Linked DNA regions of Ovis aries. The protein of the gene in region 1 interacts with the protein of each later gene in a biochemical or structural test. Links are inferred from orthologs where the notes say so. Each region holds a gene or a part of one and is shown in the gene's direction. Other genes may lie near its edges.

Region 1 (3,649 bases):
ACCCACTATCCACGCACACCCACCCACCTGTCCACCCATGTCCACCCACCACCCACCCACCCACCATCCACACACATCCACTCACTCTCCACCCACCCCACCATCCACACACATCCACCCACCTGACCACCCACATCCACCCCACCACCCACCCACCTACCATCCACACACGTCCACCCGCCACCCACCCCCACCATCCACACATCCACCCACCCGCCATCCACCCTCACCAACCATCCACCATCCACACACGTCCACCCGCCACTCACCCCCACCATCCACACACATCCACCCACCCTCCACTCACCCCCACCATCCACACACATCCACCCAACCACCATCCACCCCCACCCACCACCCACCCACCATCCACACACATCCACCATCCACACACATCCACCCACCCTCCACTCACCCCCACCATCCACACACATCCACCCAACCACCATCCACCCCCACCCACCACCCACCCACCATCCACACACACCCACCATCCACACACACCCACCCACCCACCATCCACACACATGCACCCACCCACCATCCACACACGCTCCACCCACCACCCACCCCTACCATCCACACACGTCCACCATTCACCCACCCACCCACCATCTATACATATCTACCCACTCTACACCCACCCCCACCATCCACCCACGATCCATCCACCTGCCCACTGTCTACCCACCCATCTGCACACCTTGAGAATAGAGACTGGAAAGCTCAACATCAAACCCTTCTGCCCACTCACTTCTAGAAGAACCATGAGGGAAAGTTGTCACAAATGCAGATTCCCAGGCCTCGGCCCCAGAAGCTGAGAGTCAGCTGGTGGGGGTGGGCTCTGGAAACTGTTCTCCCACCTCTCTAGTTGAGGCAGAAGCAGCTGCTCCAGGCCTTCCCCCTGAGCAGCAGGTGGCCTGGCCTGGCCTGGCACTGCATGTCCACAGAGGGGCAGAGGCCGTGGGGGTCCCTGGGTCTTGGGCCACATCCCTGACAATGCCTGACACGCCCTCCACCCCGCTTTTTCTTCCTCCTCCCCAGTTGCTTATATTTCTTCAACCCGGAAACATGACAACATTAAAGATGATTCTGAGGTGAGTAGGAAATGGCTCGTCAGTGTCTGTGTCTGTTATAGAGGTCCATCAGCTCGTTTCTGGGGCCACTGTGGGAACTCAAAGGTGAACTAGGAGTGTCTGGGGAGACGCGGCCTGGTGGGCACCGGGGGTTGCATACATCAAGGCATCGGGGTCACAGGTCTGAGAAGTCTTAAGAGACATTAAGCACAGAGGCAATTGCCAAACAGGAGGTGGGACTGGTCCTCTAATCCCAGGACTGGTTCCCCTGGCACCCTCAGGTGACCTAGAGGCTTCCTGCGGAGGCGCTTCATTAACATGACAAAGGAGCATTTTGCTGGCTCTCTGCACCTGGAACCCCCTGGGCTTAGGAGCTCCATGCCAGGAATGGGGCCCTGGAACAAGTAGGGACTTTGTATTACCAACCACAACATCAGTTTGACTCTGGATGATAAATGAGGCTCTGAGAAGTTTGGTCCCGTGCGAGGGCGTTCCAGCTGGAGCTTCCATCCACGGAACCTCCTCGCAGCACCTGGGGAGGCCACACCTTTTCCAAGGTCCTTGTCCCTTCTGGACTTGAGCTCTTTCTCCCTGGTCATCTGTGTCTGGAATGAGTCAGGAGCGCTCAGTTACCCTTCCTCCAGCACAGAATCCTCTTCAGAGAGAGTCCTCAGGAGGGGCGCATGTGGCCTCTCCCTGCCGTCAACGGTCGCTTCTAGTGACGCTTGCTGTGGCGTGTCTCCCGAGGCATTAGCAGGTTATGCTTTGTGCCACCCGGGGAGGGCCAGGTGAGCTTCTGATCCCAGCACCAACGGCCCTGGGGTGTGTGAGCCCATGGTCACCTCCTTGGCAGTCAGGGCAGGCTGGCCCTGAGCATCCCTCCTGGCTCACAGAGGGGCCACCTGACTGGTGATGGCTCCTGGATCTCTGCTCCTTCCATCAGGAGCTCTAGGGGTCTGCTCCTAGGTGGGGAGGCCATGGGTGATGAGTCCCCTCCCGCTTCCTCCCATCTTGTCCACCCCTATCAGGACCTCAAGCCAGTCATCGACGGGATGGACGGGATCAAGATATCTCAGGGGCTCGGGCTGCAGGACTTCGACCTGATCAGGGTCATCGGGCGCGGGAGCTACGCCAAGGTCCTGCTGGTACGGCTGAAGAAGAACGACCAGGTCTATGCCATGAAGGTGGTAAAGAAGGAGCTGGTCCATGACGACGAGGTGAGACTGCCTGTGTTCCCCGTTGTTCAGTTGCCAGGTCGTGTCCAACTCTGTGACACATGGCCCACAGCACTCCAGGCCTCCCTGTCTGCTCCTCTGCGTGCAAGTAAGTGCACAGAACAAAATGGATGCTTTTCCCGCTTTCCAGTGTGCAGCTTAGTGACTTTTAGCGCATTCACGGTATTGGGTAACCATCACTACCGCCCAGCCCACGACACTTCCTCCCCGTGAGCAGTCTCTCCCCAGTCTCTTCCAGCCCCACAGCCGCCCGGCCGCTTCTGTCTCTGTGCATTTGCCTGTTCTGGACTCTGCATGTAAATGGAACCATGCGCTGTGGGACCTTCTGTGTCTGGCTTCTCTGACGGAGCATCTCATTCTCACGGTCCATCCAAGTATATCGAGGCGCGGCACCTCCTCCATCTTTTCTAGGCCTCAGTTGTGTTCTGTTTTACGGACAGGCCCCGTTTGGCATGTGTGTCCATCCCTGATAAGCATGTGGCTTGTCTCCATTTCCAGGTGCGGTGAACGTCTGTGCAGCTGTCTGAGTCCCTGTTTTTACTCCTCTGGGTGTTCACCCGGGAGGGGACTGCCAGGTCGTAGGGTCTTTTTGTGTTTCACTCTGAGGAACAACTGAACCGTCTTCCCCGGTGTCGTTTTACGTTCCCACCAGCAATGCACGAGGGTCCCACTTCTGCCCATTCTTGCCAATACTGGCTGTGTTCTCTATTTTGATTATCGCTGTCCTAGCAGGTGTTTAGTGGCTTTGACAGGCTTTCAGCACCTTTTCATGGGCTTCTTGGCTCTGTGTACTTTTGATCTATTCTTTGATCCCTGAACGGGGGTTACGTCCCTTAGAAGCAGAGAGTGACTTCAGAGGGAGCAATGATGATGTCACTGTGAGATGACTTGATACACGTGGAGTGGGGGCCACGGCAGGGCTGCCCAGGCTTGCAGCTCAGAGGGCAGAGCCAGGGCTCCACCAAGTCCCCACCTGCCCTCCCAACAAGTGCGTTTGTGCAGTGCACACACCGCCCAGCTGGCTGCCAGCCCCTGGTGCTGAGCTCACAACTGAGCTGGTGCAACCCTGCCTGTCAGCTGAGGAAGCGGAGCCCTGGGGATGTATGGGGCTCAGCCAGCGTCTTCACTGCTGGTCACAGCCCTGCAAGGTGATTCCAAGTCCCCGCCCCGTGCATGGCTGGCTGGAGGGTTGATGGTGTCTTTGGGGGTGGGGCAGTTTCTAGAATGCTGAGAGGAGAGGTCTCCAGGGAGGGTTACTGCTGTGGTTGATCCTGGCATCATCACATAGCCAGGGCCAGGGCTGGAGCCTGGACTTTGAGGTGGTCTCAGGAGAATGAG
Region 2 (3,649 bases), on another chromosome or scaffold:
TTGCAAAAGGGCACATCTACTGTGAAGCCTTACAATTTCCCATTGTTTTTATCATAACATTTAAGCAAGAGGAAAAAAAAGTGTCGAGCAAAGAATTTTTATCCACAAGCTTTAGCAAAAACATTGCAGCCCTAAAATATTCAATTATTAGCTGTTACTCCCGTTCACCAGGGGAAGTAATAAAACCTGGGGATGAATCAGAATGCACTGGGATGTTGCGATACCAGAATAAAGAAAATGGAGGAGAAACTATGACTTTTGATAACATCATAAGACTGACTCTGATATGAAGGGTGTTCCTCAGTTTTTATTTACTTTGAAACGTGAAGGTGTGACTAAACTTTTTGAGTGCTTTAGGTGTGAGTCACCTTATTTTCTTGACAAATGTTAGTGTTTACGTTTGAGGAATGTGTTTCGGAAACTTTTAATTTATTAGAAGTAAGAGGTGGTTTCAGTGAGTTTTCATTTTAATTGAAAACTAGCAAATAGTGTGGGTATAAGCGAGGCAGATACACTTGCCATAACAAAAGCGGTGAATCCAGGGAGCCCACGGGACCCTTGGGGACGTGAACGGACACATTTGTAACCAAATAATTCCAGTAGGGACTTTGCCTGCATGATGTTTAAGGCCTTGTTGGTAGTACAGCTAGTGTTACTGTCCAATAATAGATACTTAGAGGAAAAAGGAATTCAGTGGTCAAATGCATTTGGCACACAGTTTGTTTTGAAAATTTTTTCTGTTTTAATCAACGCCAGGGCTTTACCTCGCCTTTAATAACTGGTCTCCCCAGTGATTCCCAAGAGCATGATTATAGTTATATAGCATTTCCCAAATGTGTGTGACTGGGGCACTTTTTGAGGAAGGCTGATGAATCTTTCTTAGGTTTCCACATTTGAGGAAATGCTGTGCTGGTTCCATAGTAGGTCACAGATCCTGTTTGTTATGGACTGGATGAAGCCAGTCCTTCGTGTCAGATAAGAACCACCGAAATCATGCGGCATTTGGGTTCTAGAGTAGGGAAGCAGATGTGAGTATGAGAATTGTGAGGATAAATACTGGGTATGATGGAAGTGCCGTCCTCCCTGTTTGTGTGGTTCCTTAATACCGCTCATATAATTATTCTCTTTACCCACTAATTGCTGAGCTCGGGTGCAGGCCCGAGCCTTTCATTCTCTAGGGCCTAGCACTGTGCCAAGCACATAAACACTTTTGCATTAATTGGACGGTTGTACGACATATATTTAATGTATTAATAAAAGTGCCCTTTTTTTAAAGATTAACATACGGAAGACACTTCCTGTCTTTAGACTCATTTCTCCTATAATATGCCTCCATTCATATGGCGCCTTGCTGCCAAGAAGTTCAAAGTCCTGCTTGCTTGTGCTGCAGTTAATTCCTGCCACTTCCTATGAAGCTGTTACTCCTTTGATTGGGGAGGAAACCTGGATGCTTTTTGCTGACAGTCAAAATAAAGACTTAGGCTCATCTCTGTTACCCCGTGGCCTGAGTGAGGAGGGAAGACTGTTGTCAGGATCCAGACTCCACACAGGGTTTGTTTGAGCTGAGTCACTCTGCAGGACAGTCCCCAGTGGGGCCTGGGTACCCCGGGGATTAAGTCGAACCTGCATCTCTTGAAGGGGATGCCCTTCAGAGATACAGCAGTGAGCAGGCACATTTCTGTGTCTCCCCTAGGCCGTTTTATCTCCAGATAATGAGGTTTCTAGGGGCTTCCCTGGTGGCTCAACTGGTAACAAATCCGCCTGCAATGCTGGAGACCTGGTTCGATCCTTGGGTTGGGAAGATCCCCTGGAGAAGGGAAAGGCTACCCACTCCCGTATTCTGGCCTGGAGAGTTCCATGGACTGTATAGTCCATGGGGTCGCAAAAGAGTCAGACATGACTGAGCAACTTTCACTTTCAGTGAGGTTTCGACTGTGTGGTTGAAACTGTCTTCTTTATTAAAGGAAACTCGTATCTGTGAATTTTTCTATGTCATGCCTTGTAAGATTGGATCCTGTTTTAAAATTAATATGTTTGTTTGTAGTTTGGAGCTGAATTTCGCCGGTTTTCACTGGAAAGATCAAAACCTGGAAAGTTTGAGGAGTTTTATGGATTACTGCAACATGTTCATAAAATACCCAATGTTGACGTTTTAGTAGGCTATGCAGACATCCATGGCGATTTACTACCTATAAATAATGACGACAATTATCACAAAGCTGTTTCAACGGCCAACCCACTGCTTAGGATCTTTATACAGAAAAAGGGTAAGTACCAACATCCAGAGAAGTTGTTTGAGAATTAGAAGTTGTTAATTTTCCTCATTGATAGGATATACAGAGTTTGCCACAAATTTAAGGAATTAGACATTTTATGTGAATCTTATTAGCAAATTAACAAGTGAGTTAAGACATCTGTGATATTATTGGTTTATTAACATCTTTACACTTAATTAAGTGCACTTTAGAAAGTTGTGATTACTTTGTAAACCTTTAGATTCTTTTTCTTAATGGAAATTAGGAATATATTGAATCTTCGCGTTGAATGTGATTTTGTCCATTCAGAAAGATGTGGTAGGAAGAGTGTGGCTTTGGAGTCAGAGAAACATTCTCGACTTCCCTGGTGGCTCAGAAGGTAAAAGCATCTGCCTACAACTCGGGAGACCTGGGTTCGATCCCTGGGTTGGGAAGATCCTCTGCAGAAGGAAATGGCAGCCCACTCCAGTATTCTTGCCTGGAAAATCCGATGGACAGAGGAGCCTGGCAGGCTGCAGTCCATGGGGTCGCAGAGAGTCGGACACGACTGAGCGACTTACGTATACGTACATAAGGTGACTCTGGTGGTAAAGAACCCGCCTGCCGATGCAACAGACATGAGTTGGATCCCTGGGTCAGGAAGATCCCCTGGAGGAGGAAATGGCAACCCACTCCAGTATTCTTGCCTGGAAAATCCCATGCACAGAGGAGCCTGGAGGGCTGCAATTCATGGGGCCACAAAGAGTCACAACTTTGAAATACTGTGTTTACTACTTACTAGGTACTTGACGGAAAGCTATTTACTTTTCCAGGTTGCAGTGTCTTTATCTACAGGAGGAGCATGCCATCTCATGGCATTGCTGGGGGTTTAACTGAGCTCAGTGCTTCCGGGTTTCAGTGTCTTTATCTACAGGAGGAACGTGCCATCTCATGGCATTGCTGGGGGTTTAACTGAGCTCAGTGCAGAGCCTTGGCGTGTACTAGGCCTCCTCTAACTGTTGGCTTTCCTCTAAGGTGTTTCTCACAGAAAATACAATTAGTTAATTATCTGAAAATTAGTAAGTCATCATTTTGGAGGAATGTAAACATTGATAATTGGTCTTGCAGAAGAAAGTTTTAAATAACCACTGTATATGGCAAGCACTGCAACGTATTTTGACTTTTAAAAGCCCTAAAAAGATTTGTTTTGCCTTTGTGGCCTCTTCCGTGTGTGTCTCTGTGTCTGCCTGTAGATGGGTGCCATGCATGCTTCTGCTTCCTTTGTCTTTGGAAAATGAGGAGGTTTGGAAAGGCAGCATGACAGACTCCAGCCCAGCACTGGTGGGATGATTAAAGCCTGACTGTGCTTGTAAACCAACCCAGCGAGCAGTCAGAGAGTGGGCTGAGATTACCCT

What was found. The genes of interacting proteins can lie anywhere in the genome.
Region 2: the proteins of PRKCZ (region 1) and PARD6B form a complex in vitro, tested with the Homo sapiens proteins (2 studies listed by BioGRID). The link is inferred for Ovis aries from reciprocal best matches to the Homo sapiens genes PRKCZ and PARD6B.

The regions. Positions count from the first base shown.
Region 1 is NC_056065.1:49,927,223-49,930,871, reverse strand, and holds part of PRKCZ (protein kinase C zeta type), read left to right. Parts: intron 1-1,044; coding exon 1,045-1,097; intron 1,098-2,104; coding exon 2,105-2,293; intron 2,294-3,649. UniProt on the Homo sapiens protein: Calcium- and diacylglycerol-independent serine/threonine-protein kinase that functions in phosphatidylinositol 3-kinase (PI3K) pathway and mitogen-activated protein (MAP) kinase cascade, and is involved in NF-kappa-B activation, mitogenic signaling, cell proliferation, cell polarity, inflammatory response and maintenance of long-term potentiation (LTP).
Region 2 is NC_056066.1:78,710,441-78,714,089, forward strand, and holds part of PARD6B (partitioning defective 6 homolog beta), read left to right. Parts: intron 1-2,044; coding exon 2,045-2,267; intron 2,268-3,649. UniProt on the Homo sapiens protein: Adapter protein involved in asymmetrical cell division and cell polarization processes. Probably involved in formation of epithelial tight junctions.